Caenorhabditis elegans: one gene and its partners. The protein of the gene in region 1 interacts with the protein of each later gene in a biochemical or structural test. Each region holds a gene or a part of one and is shown in the gene's direction. Other genes may lie near its edges.

Region 1 (3,173 bases):
TACCGATCCATAATTGTGGTGATCATTGATGTGAATCAACGTCTTATCAACGAGAAATTCACAAATTATCAGCGAACAAGCCCACTGAAACATTCCTCGTTTACGCCACGACAGATGGCCAAGCTCTTATTGGAAGTAGTGGACTACTTTTGGAAGATTATGTAGGAAGTTGATAAACTTGCTTGTTTTAATGATATTTATACCTTTTCAACTACATAAAGACCATAACTATACACTTTTAGGGCTTGAACCATATTCAATCCAGTTATCCTAATTTTACTCCGGCCAAGTAAAAGTTCACATTTTAAATTTTCCAGAAAAACTGCCAAAAACCCAACTTGCGTGACAAGCTTCTGCTTAACTTTTTGCACAAAAAACCTATAAGGAACTTTCAGATCGCGTGACACTTGAATCCGGCGGTGTGGCCGGAACATCTAGTTAAATTACCTGAAACTTGCATTAAACTTCTAGGCTCCTGATCGCGTGACAATCAGAGCCGGTCATGTTACCAGAACCGAGTCACTGCACGATATGCCCCATTAATACTAGATCGACGTTACGAATGGCTGGAGGGGTACATAGAACTAAGATTCTTAGCAAAATTACCTGTATATTATAAGAAGACCCGGCGGAACTACAAAAATGTGATCATCAGATTTAATCAGATTTAGTTGTGTGTACTCTCAAACATGCGAAATTAGTTGAAAAGTCCGCCGCATCTGAACTCCCGCCATTCTCGTAGACCACATTTCTATGGACCACACTGGCGTGTTTAGTGTGTCTGCTAAATCAAGCTGGATTGACTCTGAAGTTCCGAGTTCGATCAGACTGGCATGCTCTTTTGCACAAAAATCCATTGCCAAAAGTCTCAATTTTAAGATTTTCAGATCGCGTGACACTCCGATCCGGTAAAGCAACCGGGACTTGGATCTAGCCGAAAGAAGGTCTGGAAGTGCCTGTTCCACCAAAATTAAAGTTACATATTCCGAGAAAAAATCAAATTACACTGGAAAACTTAATGGGTTTCCCATATTGCGTGACACAACGATTGAATGATATCATCTAGGTGTGATACCGGCCGATCCACGTGATTAAGGAATAATGGGTTCTTAGTAAAGTGAACAGATCGCGTGACAGTTTGATCCGGTCCGGTCACCGGAATAGGAATCGAAAATCTGGCCTACACAAATATTGAAATGATATCACTTGGCCATGGTACCGGAACCAAACCAATGTCACAACTGAAATAGACTCCATACGACCTTCCAGAATTACCAAACAGGAACTTCGTCATCATGGCATTGTCATCATCATCCTCCTCCATTATTTGTAGCATTATACTTGCTTCCACCCGAAAACAACTGCCCATCAAAGAGCTCATGAACAATTACCTTCTCTCTCTCTCTTGACTTGTCACCCGTCTTGATTGAGATTTGTTACATTCTTGGAGAAGACGGAGAGGGACCACGCCTTCTAATTGTTTCCTGCGTGTTTGGTTTTGGAGCACATATAGGTAAGCTGAATAGTATAAAAGCTGTGCAGCCAGCAGAAAGTCAATCGAGTTCCGAGCTTTTTGGGGGTTTCGTTGAGCTTTTTAGAGTTCCGAGCCTAGATTAAGTTTCGTTGGGCTTTTTCACTGTTTCACCCAAAAAAAAAATAAAAACTTCCAGGGTCCCCCTACCATGCGTTTTCTTATTCTCATCGTCGCAATTGTGTTGCTGTCAGCCGTGCATGGCTTCTCGGTAGAGCCACGTCTTGCCGCGTTTGCCGATGGTGGAGCCGCAGAGCTGGCACAGGAAGCTCGTCAAGCTCGCAACGCCGAGCTGGAATTTATCAAGTGAGTTGGGAACTAGATCTTGGAGATTTCGATGTATAAATATGACTTGCTGAATGAGTCGCGTTGCCCTAACTATAATGTTTTTTTAAACTTATTTGGCTTAGGCGTAAGCTTAGGCTTAGGCTTATGCTTAGGCTTAGGCTTATGCTTAGGCTTAGGTTTTGGCTTAGGCTTAGATTTAGGCTCAGGCTTAGACCAAGATTTAGGCTTAGGCTTAGGCTCAGGCCCAGGCTTAGACCTAGGATCAAGGGTGTCAATGTCCCGTAAAAATTACAAAAACGGGACATCGGGACGTCCCGTTCCCGTGAAAACACCCAAAAAACGGGACAACGGGGCAAACGGAACACGGGACTTGACACCCTTGCCTAGGATTAGGCTCAGGCTTAGGCTTAGGCTCAGGCTTGGGCCTAAGCTTAGGTTCAGGCTTAGGCCTAGGCTTAGGCTTAGGCTCCTGATCTCTTCACTATCTCTTCGCTCTAGTGAGTAGGCTCCTTTTCAACAGTCCTCGTTCCCTCTCTCAAAGCCTAATTTTCAGACGATTCCTCCCAGCCAAGGAACGTCGTGCCCCGCTGGAAGGCTTCGAGGACATGTCAGGATTCCTGCGCACCATTGACGGAATCCAAAAGCCACGTTTTGGTTAAACCTGATGCTCAGCTCAATCTGAAATTTGAAATTCTCACAATTTGTTCTCTCTCTCTTTCTCTCTCTTCCTCTGTGTCTGTCGTTTTCTCTGTTCCCTTCTTTCCTTCTCTGTCCTCTTCCCTTGACATCGGTGCGGCCCCGACACTCTTCGTATGCAAAATTAAAGCCAAAAATAAACGATGAGCATTGACAAATATGTTTTATTGATATGGGTGAGAAAAATAAATAGTTGATAAATTAATCAGAACGATTGGATTCCGAGTTCACAGCCATCTCCATAGTAAACTCTGTCGGAGCATGATCCTCTTCGGCTCCACCGCCGGGTCGACTGGAATTTCAGCATTTTCTTTTTGCACAACAATTTCCAGAATCAAAGAAAGAACAAAACCACGTGTAAACAAGAAAGGTATAATAAAGTGTATCGGAAGTGCGTATTGACATGTCACCGGGCATCAAAATACAATTGTCGGGGAGACCAGAATAGCTATTGTTTGCGGGAGGAAATTGATGTCGGATGGGGAAGGGGAGATCTAGGTCAAGTTTCGGCTGGAGCCCTGCCAAGTTTTGACCAAAGGGGCTCAGGCTCAGGTACTCTAAGGCGTTTTGACAACATTTTTTTTATTGAAACCTTGAATTTTGGAACGATTTCAAGCCTTTCTAGGCATATTTGAATTAGAATGTAGTACAGTTTCAC
Region 2 (5,041 bases), on another chromosome or scaffold:
GTTAAATATCAAAATGAAAATTCAACAAAAAATCAAAAGTTGGAAAGATAAGTTCGTACCTAATTAAATTTCAACTAGCATTTCTTTCAAAAATTTGAAATTAAGGAATTTTTTTGATTTTTTCTAACCATGATGATCGGTCAACTTTCTCGCCTATCATATATCTAATTATACGGAATTTCGCTCACTTTTGTTTTTTGAACATGCTCATGAAAAAAAGAATATATAATTACATTCTAACCATTGAACAAAAAAAAACGCACTTAAAATGTTCGCGGTGATCATATTACAAATTTGTTCTTGATCAAGAATATCTCATTTTGTTTGAGAATCTACTGTGCAATTCCTGTTTATAACATTTTATTATTATTGTTAATTGAATTTAAAATCGTCCTCTATTTTTTTTCAATTTGAAAACACTAATTGCCAAGCCTGAAAATATAATTTAGTTTGGTTCCGAAGATGAACAGCTTATTATTTTCAAAGAACGCATGTTTGAGATTTAAGATTCAGAGTTGCCAAAATACTTTGAAATTCTATTCAAACTTCTTTTATTTACAAATTTGCAACGAATAACGGAGTGCTGAAATGAACCTCTTCTAGCCCATCGATAGTTTTGTATTCACTTTTAAAGCTGAGAAAATAAAAAAATGTACTGTTTCATCTTATTTTTATAAACACAAAAATATTTATCGAACAATGTTGATTTGATTTTGTGTCCTGAATCTCCTCAACTCATCAAAACCTCATAATTCGTATTTTCCCATTGGTCATCTAAATCCATTATTTTTTTCCAAAATCTCGTGTTCCGGCTTCACTTTTTTTCGATAGCTTTAGTGGAAAAGATTTTAACGACTGGTGCTCATTGCAAACGATGTGAACCCAGTAATTACATTAGAACCCATCGTCCGCCCACCAAAAAGCAATGAGACGTTACTCAATTTGTTCAGAAATGGACCTTCTTAGAAGTAATTCTTTGAATACTTCTTGCAATATTCTGCAAAAATAAACTTTCTGAAACTAGGTGAGAAATAAAAAATTTTCTTGATTTGTTGTGAGTTCTTAAGAATGCTAGAAATTACATAAAACTATAATTGTTTTGTTGGGAAAGTTTAAGATGCCTGACAGTTTTCTTGGAATTTTTTTTCTAAAACAATCAACTAATTTCCATCATTAAATATTTGAATTTCAAACTTTTTTCAATAAAAAAAGATTGAAACTTCTACAACTATTTTGATGTTTTTGATTGAATAAAGCTGGAGTACCGCCCGTGAGGATTCGTTTTAAAAATATTTATAATACTCCAAAATTACCAAATAATTACCTTTTTTTGTAATTTTCCAACATTATAATAGGACAACTGAGTTTCACCACTTTTTGGCTATAGTTTAAAGAATTTAAATAATTCTCTAATTTTAAAACTATGATATTCGAACGTTTCAGGACAAAAAAAATAAAGGAAAATATTGAACCCTTTTTCTTGCTAACTCACCTGGCAGTGACTATTTCCAGCAAAGAAAAAACATCTTTAAAAGTCGTATTACTTGTAAAAACAAATGTGCCGAAAGGTGTATTTATTATGCAACGACATTTTCCTTCTTCCTCTAGTATATATCCACGATTCTTTCCTCATTCCACTACTATATTCATTCCGGAGCTGTTTCCACGAGTCTCTTGACATTTTTTTTCACATTCATTGTCTACTTAATTCTTTTACGACTTTTGCGCTGTTCTATGTTTTTTTGGAACACGTTATTGAATTTGGCAGAAAAAATTAGTCACCTTTTAAGCGGCTTGATATGTTGTTACAAAAAACTTTCAATCACATTTTTCAATCTGTACACTTTTTGTACTCCCTTATCTCTATACTACTTGTATTTACCACTCTTTAAAAACTGATCTTAATTGTTTTTACAGGTAAACACCATCTGGAATCTTTCTAAAAAGAATCTGTAGGCCGATTTTATAGCAACATCACTATAATGACAGTTCACAAAACGTAAGTTGTTTTTAAATGTTTCTGACAGAAAGTTTCAGACAGTAGCATAAACTAAAATAAAACTGTTTCAAATTGTGTACAAATCAAAGGAACGTTGCAGAACAACGATGCTGTTTTTGTTTCAACTTTAAGACGTAACTTTAGATACATGAACATTTAGTGGTCTTCTTCTTTTTTGGTCAAAAAGTGTTCTTTACTTCCTTTCCTGCAAATTGCAAAAAAGAATCGAAAACACAAAAACCAGAATGGTCCTCCACAATTTTGAATAATATATGGCTCACGAACCCTGTCATCCCAGGAATATTTTCATGGTTTCATGGAATTGTTCGTATTTTTCTTGATGATGTGGGTACCAATTCTTCTTAAAAACGTTCAAGTGGGCCATGCTTCATTAATATTTTTGTATTTAAGCTTTCTAAGAAACATCTTCCAAATGTTATCTTGATTTTTTACAAACACCGACATTCGATTTTCAATACATTTTTCTGATCATTTATGCAAATCTGATTTGTTTTTTCCTTTTCTTTTCCTTATTTCAACATTTTTATCATGCCTACTTCATCTTTTTCCCATTCCCATTGCACAAGATTTTCCTCACTATGTTTCTTCAATAGCTTTTCATTATTCCGTGCTTCAACAAAAAATTTATGCGAATTTTAAAATTGAATTCGTACAAACAGGATGTTGGCATCTAGACGAAATGTCGACTGACATTCACAAATGGTTTGACATTTTTGAAATTAATTTTTGTACAGAAAAGTAATTTCCAAAGAATCTAGGATACGGTTGGCATATCGAAATTCCAGTTCCTTATGGGTTTTTTTTCGTAGAAATTTCGAGCGTATAAATACCAGATTTTTCGAAGGCTTTGAGATTTTAGTTTTCATCATCTTGCTGTCAAACTGTACCTAATCGTTTGAATTTAAAGTTGAAAGCTTGATTGAAACCTGTAAATTTTTACTGTACCGAGATCAGAGTGATAACTTTGCGATAACATCACACAGTTGTACCATCAAGCGGACAATATTTCGCCAATTTGGAAATCTCGCAATCAATAGATATTTGATTGGGACCAGATCATTTAGTTAGTTTATTCTTAGGTATTTGAAGCTCAACTTATTCACAAAATGTTTTGCTAAATTTCCAAGAGTCCACCTACAATTTAATAGTCTTATTTGGCATTTCCGTATGCCCACCCACCTCCATTTACTTACTCTATTCTTGTCCATTTCCTGTGTATTCTATGTTTTGAAACACACTCAAATTCACCTTACCCATTCAATTTTACAAATTCCTAACCTCGAAGGAGGTACTTCATTGAGAAGAGCTAATCGACTCCTATTCTTCGTTTCTTCTTCTTTTTTTACATTTTGTTTCAAAAGAGTGCTGTGACGATAAGAATTTATTTTATATCAGGTCATCATTTTCTGTGAGCAAACTAGATATTTTAAGTGAAAAATTATAGTTTAAAAAAAAAATTAGTAACATTTTCAGACGTATACGTACTACTTGACTGTCTCATGATTGCCTACTGAATGTTTCCTCATATGTTAGCGTGGGCTCCAGCTTTTGATTTTTGTGCCTTACGCATTTTTGTAATCTCAGTTCATGCAACACATTTTCAAGAAGTTTGACAAATAGGCATTTTTGGTCGCGGAAGAGTTAAATAATATCACTCTAGAAATGTAGCTTTTATATTCCCAATTGGCGTCAATAAATTATTCATTTTTCATAATTTCTGATTATTATTCAAATGTTTTTAAGTACCAGGGTGTACCAAGCATCTCTAATTAGTTACCATGACAAATTGATCCCCATAGTTTGAAGCTTATACCAATAGTATTAATCTTCTCAATTTTTGAAGACTCTTTTAATATTTAATTCATTTCTCTTCGCCTCTTCCTACATTTTCTATTTTTATTCTTGACTTCCTGCTCTTCGCGGACCTTTTGAGAGCATTTTGTCGTAAAATTAAATAAAAATTGAAGGGGGAATGAGCAGGAAGAGAAATTGCAATTTGCTCTTCACCTTTGAGTATAAAAAAGAAAGAAAAAAAGAGCACACAATAAAATATATTTCAATTTCAATTTACCTTCCAATCAATTCTTATCTGGATTTCATTGTTCTTTTTTGGTTTTTAGTCTCTTCATCAAACCCCGCTGGGATTTTTTAGGGTAATGGAGTCTGAAAAAGAGGAATTGAATAAAAGAAGCAACGAAAGATTTAGAATCATAGATTACGAATCAAATGGAACACGAGATTTCTTGCTGAAGTTAGCAAATAACAACCACTAATCGTCAATTTTTGTCACTTTTACAAAGAATTTTTTGGAAGATTTTTGGAATGATGCTTATCAAGAGCATCATCCTAATTGTAGACCTTCACATTAGAAAAATCAAAGTTAATGCGCAAGTTCATCTCAAGCGAACAGTAATCACAAACTCCAAGAGCCCCGTTTTTGGTCAATTGTTTTTTATTTGATCTGTGCCAAGAATATATTAATTTTTCTTTTTTTTTCAATTTTAATCATGTATTTCATTATAATTTCTCATAACAAATTCGTGGGGGTATGAAGCCCTAATTTGTTCCTCATCTTGAAGCATCATCCACCTCCATTTTAATGTGTTTTTTGGAACAGCTTATTTTTTATTCGGCACATAAAAATATTTTTTAGGAGGCTTGTACAGAAATTTAAAAAAATTCTAATTTTTAGGATTAAGCATTAAGTTTATCTTCTTATCCTGTTACATTTATCATAAACTTCGCCGAGTGTCACAATTTTTTTTGTGAAGTATATTTTTGTCGGATAAAAATTTCTCAAAAGCAAATTATTTGCTCTAATATATTTTTAATATACTTCCCATTGTATGATTCTAGTTTCAAGCTCATCTACTAGTCATCCGACACTTGTTTTTCAACAAGAAAAAAAACAACAAAAAAATTGGAGAAACCTTGGACCCATCGTCTCCGTTTCCCCCGACGTCGCTACTTTTCTATTCTTGTCTATCTATAAATCTATGAGTCAGAAGAAAAGATACAAGA
Region 3 (4,046 bases), on another chromosome or scaffold:
GGTTTCTCAAAATTTTATGAAACGCTCCTTTTATACATATGCACGTTCGAATTAAAGATTAGTTTTGGACGTATCTAGTTTTTTTCCAAGAAATAAAATGCAGAACATACTCTTTTTAAGAAGGTCATTTGACATAAAACATCTTTGCATACTACCACAACAAGTTCCTAATCCTTCCTTTTCTCCGTCACTCAATAAAGCTCTGAGAGCACTCAAAAATCATCGAACATGTTGGTGAGAAAATGATGAATCAGTTATTAGTGGCGCGAGAACCCTGAAAAATCTTTGAAAAACCGGGATGACCCCAAAATAAGTTGTATTTTCTATTCTGTTCGTCGAACTCTTCTCGTGCTTTATTGAATTTCAGTTCTTTCTCAGAAGCAATTTTGTTGGCTTTGATTTCAACAAACTTAGTCCCGCCCATTTGTTCTTTCAACCACTAATTACATACCACAAAACTGTCTTGATAATTTCTATTTATCACGCAACTCGTTTTTTCTGCCACGTCATCAAGCTGAAGTTCGAGACTTTTGATTGAAGGTTTCAAGATGTTTCAGCTGTTTCCTCATTACTTATCTTGCGTAATACCTAGTCAATTGAGTTTTAAACGGTCCCTGAAAACTTTGAGCATATAATGGGTCTTTTATTTGGCAGGTCGTCTGAAAAATAAGCGGTCTGGGATTTAAGTTCACTTTCTAATCCTTTTGCATCTCTAGCTAATTGTAAGCAAAGAGCTTATAACTGTACAATAATAGTACATTTTTAAGAACTTTTCGAATGTTAATTTTATAAAGTTTCCATATCATCATTTTGAAATAGTATCACGTTTTTCAAAGCAAGTTTCAGACTTGTGCCCCAGTAAAATACAAAATAAAAACAAAGCGATAAATAACTTGTAGTATATTGTTCATAAAAACACCTCATCACTATTTATTATTTCTACCATATCCGCCCTCTGGATATAAAAGAGTACAATTCCACGTCACTAACTATGTATGTTTTATCATGATATAAACTGGGTTTTTATTCCAGTCTGTTCATAATTTTTTTGCCATTTCAAGCTTGTAATAAATTTTCATGAATATAAATTATTATTTTTTAATTCAATTTAATCAATCAACTTTAATGTCATTGTTGGAGCTCATGACAGAAAGAAATCCAGAATATTCTTGTTTTCAATCTAAAAACATTGAAATTTCAATCAAGAAAGTGTTCTGCAATAACATTTTTTTAACTTCGTGCACTTTGCTGGATGCAATTTCCTATCTCATTTCCTCTTGTCTTCAGGTAATCGATGCATTTCCTTTTTTGAGCTTTATAAACTATCTATTTCAGATTTTGGATATATTTTAAAAACTCAAAAATCTTTGAAAACTCTCATTATTCTTGAGAGTTGTTCCACCCAGATTCTCCCTTTTCCGCTCTATTAATACATTTTAATAATGAGAATAAGACGCTTCTTCTTCCTTATTCCTCATTTTCAGTAAATATGTTATAACTCCAACTTCCACTTTTTTGTAGTTTGTCATTTCAAAGTACCTTATGAAAGTTCTTTTTGTCAACTCCAGACAGACAAGTAACGTCAGTTGACTAAATGATACTTTTTGTTTAATTATTGCTTTTCGTTCTGTTTTCATATAAAAATCTTCCGCCTGTGATGGGATGTGTTAGTTGTTTTTGAAAATATTTTGAATAAAGTGGAAATAATGCAAGAGTTCGGAGCACAATAGGTGTGCTCAAAAAATATTTATTCCCGATGCTTCTTTTTTACATGTTTCCTGGTTTTGTAGCTCTCTTGAAAATCAATTTTCTTATTTTCGTTTTTTTTTCTAGGGAAAATGTTTCTTTGCTCGACAAGTGTATATGACATTTCTCCAGCTCTGTAATTACAAAAGATTTCGAAAATTTTCAATCGACAATTTTCAGATTCAATTTCTCGAACAATATGCAATTGACTGGATGGCCCGAATATGTTTCAATGATTTATCTTCCAATAATACTAGTTGGATTAGTTGGAAATGGATTGTCCCTATACGTCTACACAACTCCAAACATGCGAAAGTCAACTGTCGCCTTCTTACTCTACTCACTTTCAATTTGTGACATTTTTGTGCTTCTTTTTGCGCTTCCACTATATAGCATCTCATATTTGCCTATTTGGTTAGTTTGCAATATTTTTTTTAATTGGTTTTAACTATCTTGTTTTCAGGGACAATGTCTATGGTGCTTGGTCAATGCGCCGTATGTTTATTGCATTTTCAACAAAATTCTTCTATCCGTTATGCATGACTGCAAAAACTGCAAGTCTTTATATAATGGTGGTGATTACTGTAGAACGATGGATTGCAGTCTGCCGACCGTTACAGGTAAGTCTTGTGAAGTGAAATTGTCAATAGACAATTGGAAACTATTCACATCAGAATTTTATTTCAAATTATAATCTCAACACAGAAAATCTAATTTGAAAATATTTACAGGTCCACATTTGGTGCACATTCAAAAACTCAGTTAGAATTGTTATAGCCATCATAACATTTTCAATTATTCTGAACTTCCCTAAATTCTTTGAATACCAAATTGGCTATTCGGATGCATTGGGATACTGGCCAAAACGTGGAATTTTGGATGCAGAAGAGCACTGGTGGTACTACATTTCATATTTTATCATCATTTCTGTCATTTTTGACTACCTTCTGCCATTTGTTATAATGTTCATTGCAAACATGAAAGTCATCAATGAACTGAGAAAATCAAGGAAGGAGAGAGCACTTTTGACGACTTCGGTAAATATTTTACACGTTTGTATTCTATTATTATTATATTTCCAGCTTCAAAAAGAGCAAAATACAACTGTGATGTTGTTGGTTGTGACTATTCTCTTTGGATTCTGTCACTTTTTCAGTATGGCTCTCAAATTGTTCGAGAGCATTTTTAAAGATTTTCTCAATCGACACGTACGTTTTTAAAAGATTTAAATAAAATAATCTGAACATGTCATTTCAGAATGAATATTTCGAAGTGATGATTGAAGTATCTAATATTCTCATCGTCATTCATATTGGCACGACATTCTTCATATATTACTTTTTCTCGGCTAGATTCAGGAATATTTTGTGCTATTTGTTCAAGTAAATTTTAAAATCAAAATCTTATTCTTTCAATTAAATATTATTTTAGAAAACGAAGCAACCTTCCGGATAATAGCCTCACAGACTTGAACAAACGGAAGCTTCTTCAAAAATCCGATTCAATATGTACTTCACTGGCAAAAACATCACCAAAAACATCAATGGCATAATAATCTGAAAATAGGATATATAGTAGTCTCCCAATCTCTTGATCTTTTGTTTCTGATATTTCTTTTTTACTTCCTTGGATCTTTTTGTTCCTGCTTGCCATCCTCTTCGGCGTCATAATAATCATTCCGAAAGTTGTTTTCCTATATCTTACGAACGGTTCAATGAAATAAAATGTTGTGAATTTTATTTATGATATGCTAAAAATTAGACGATATATATGGAAACAAACTGTCTGGTTAAGGAAAAGTATGAATATATAATTTTAGCTTTTGAGATAGTGATCTCGGTACAAAAATCAAAAGTTAAAGGTCTAAAGTTCAAACAATCATGCAACTTTCCAAATATACTAACAGAAGCCACATTCTTGGAAACCTCCAGAAAGTGCGAAGCATCCTGCACGTTTTTAATGCATAGTTTAAGGAAAATATTGAAAATGAAGAAGTAAAAACCAAAAGATGGAAAAATTATTTATGAGAATAAAAGAAGGTAATCATGGGAAATTTAGAATCTCAAAAGTTTGTTCCTCGAATGCTTTTGATTACTTCGGAGCAAATGAAAAGAAAAGATGCAATAAATGAAACCAAAAAAATAGGACTTGTGATCTTTAGGAACTAGAATTAAAAAAATAACCAAATGTTAAATATAGATTGGTTTTGATTTGTTCAAAATATCGTAACATGCAATTGTGAATTTTAAAGTTCATCTACTATTTTGAGATAGATGAAATAAAAATTTTAACGGAAAACG

The links.
Region 2: the proteins of flp-33 (region 1) and npr-12 interact in a test that uses a peptide from one of them, tested with the Caenorhabditis elegans proteins (one large-scale study listed by BioGRID).
Region 3: the proteins of flp-33 (region 1) and frpr-6 interact in a test that uses a peptide from one of them, tested with the Caenorhabditis elegans proteins (one large-scale study listed by BioGRID).

What each region holds. Positions count from the first base shown.
Region 1 is NC_003279.8:12,623,734-12,626,906, reverse strand, and holds flp-33 (FMRF-Like Peptide), read left to right. Parts: upstream 1-1,668; 5' UTR 1,669-1,682; coding exon 1,683-1,837; intron 1,838-2,372; coding exon 2,373-2,478; 3' UTR 2,479-2,673; downstream 2,674-3,173. Other genes in the region: T07D10.3 (C2H2-type domain-containing protein), read left to right, coding at 1-165; ntr-1 (G-protein coupled receptors family 1 profile domain-containing protein), read right to left, coding at 2,717-2,807.
Region 2 is NC_003282.8:6,934,590-6,939,630, reverse strand, and holds the start of npr-12 (G-protein coupled receptors family 1 profile domain-containing protein), read left to right. Parts: upstream 1-1,982; coding exon 1,983-1,999; intron 2,000-4,570; exon of another isoform or gene 4,571-4,591; intron 4,592-5,041.
Region 3 is NC_003283.11:9,099,033-9,103,078, reverse strand, and holds frpr-6 (G-protein coupled receptors family 1 profile domain-containing protein), read left to right. Parts: upstream 1-1,916; 5' UTR 1,917-1,945; coding exon 1,946-2,160; intron 2,161-2,209; coding exon 2,210-2,366; intron 2,367-2,477; coding exon 2,478-2,783; intron 2,784-2,828; coding exon 2,829-2,954; intron 2,955-3,003; coding exon 3,004-3,128; intron 3,129-3,177; coding exon 3,178-3,298; 3' UTR 3,299-3,487; downstream 3,488-4,046.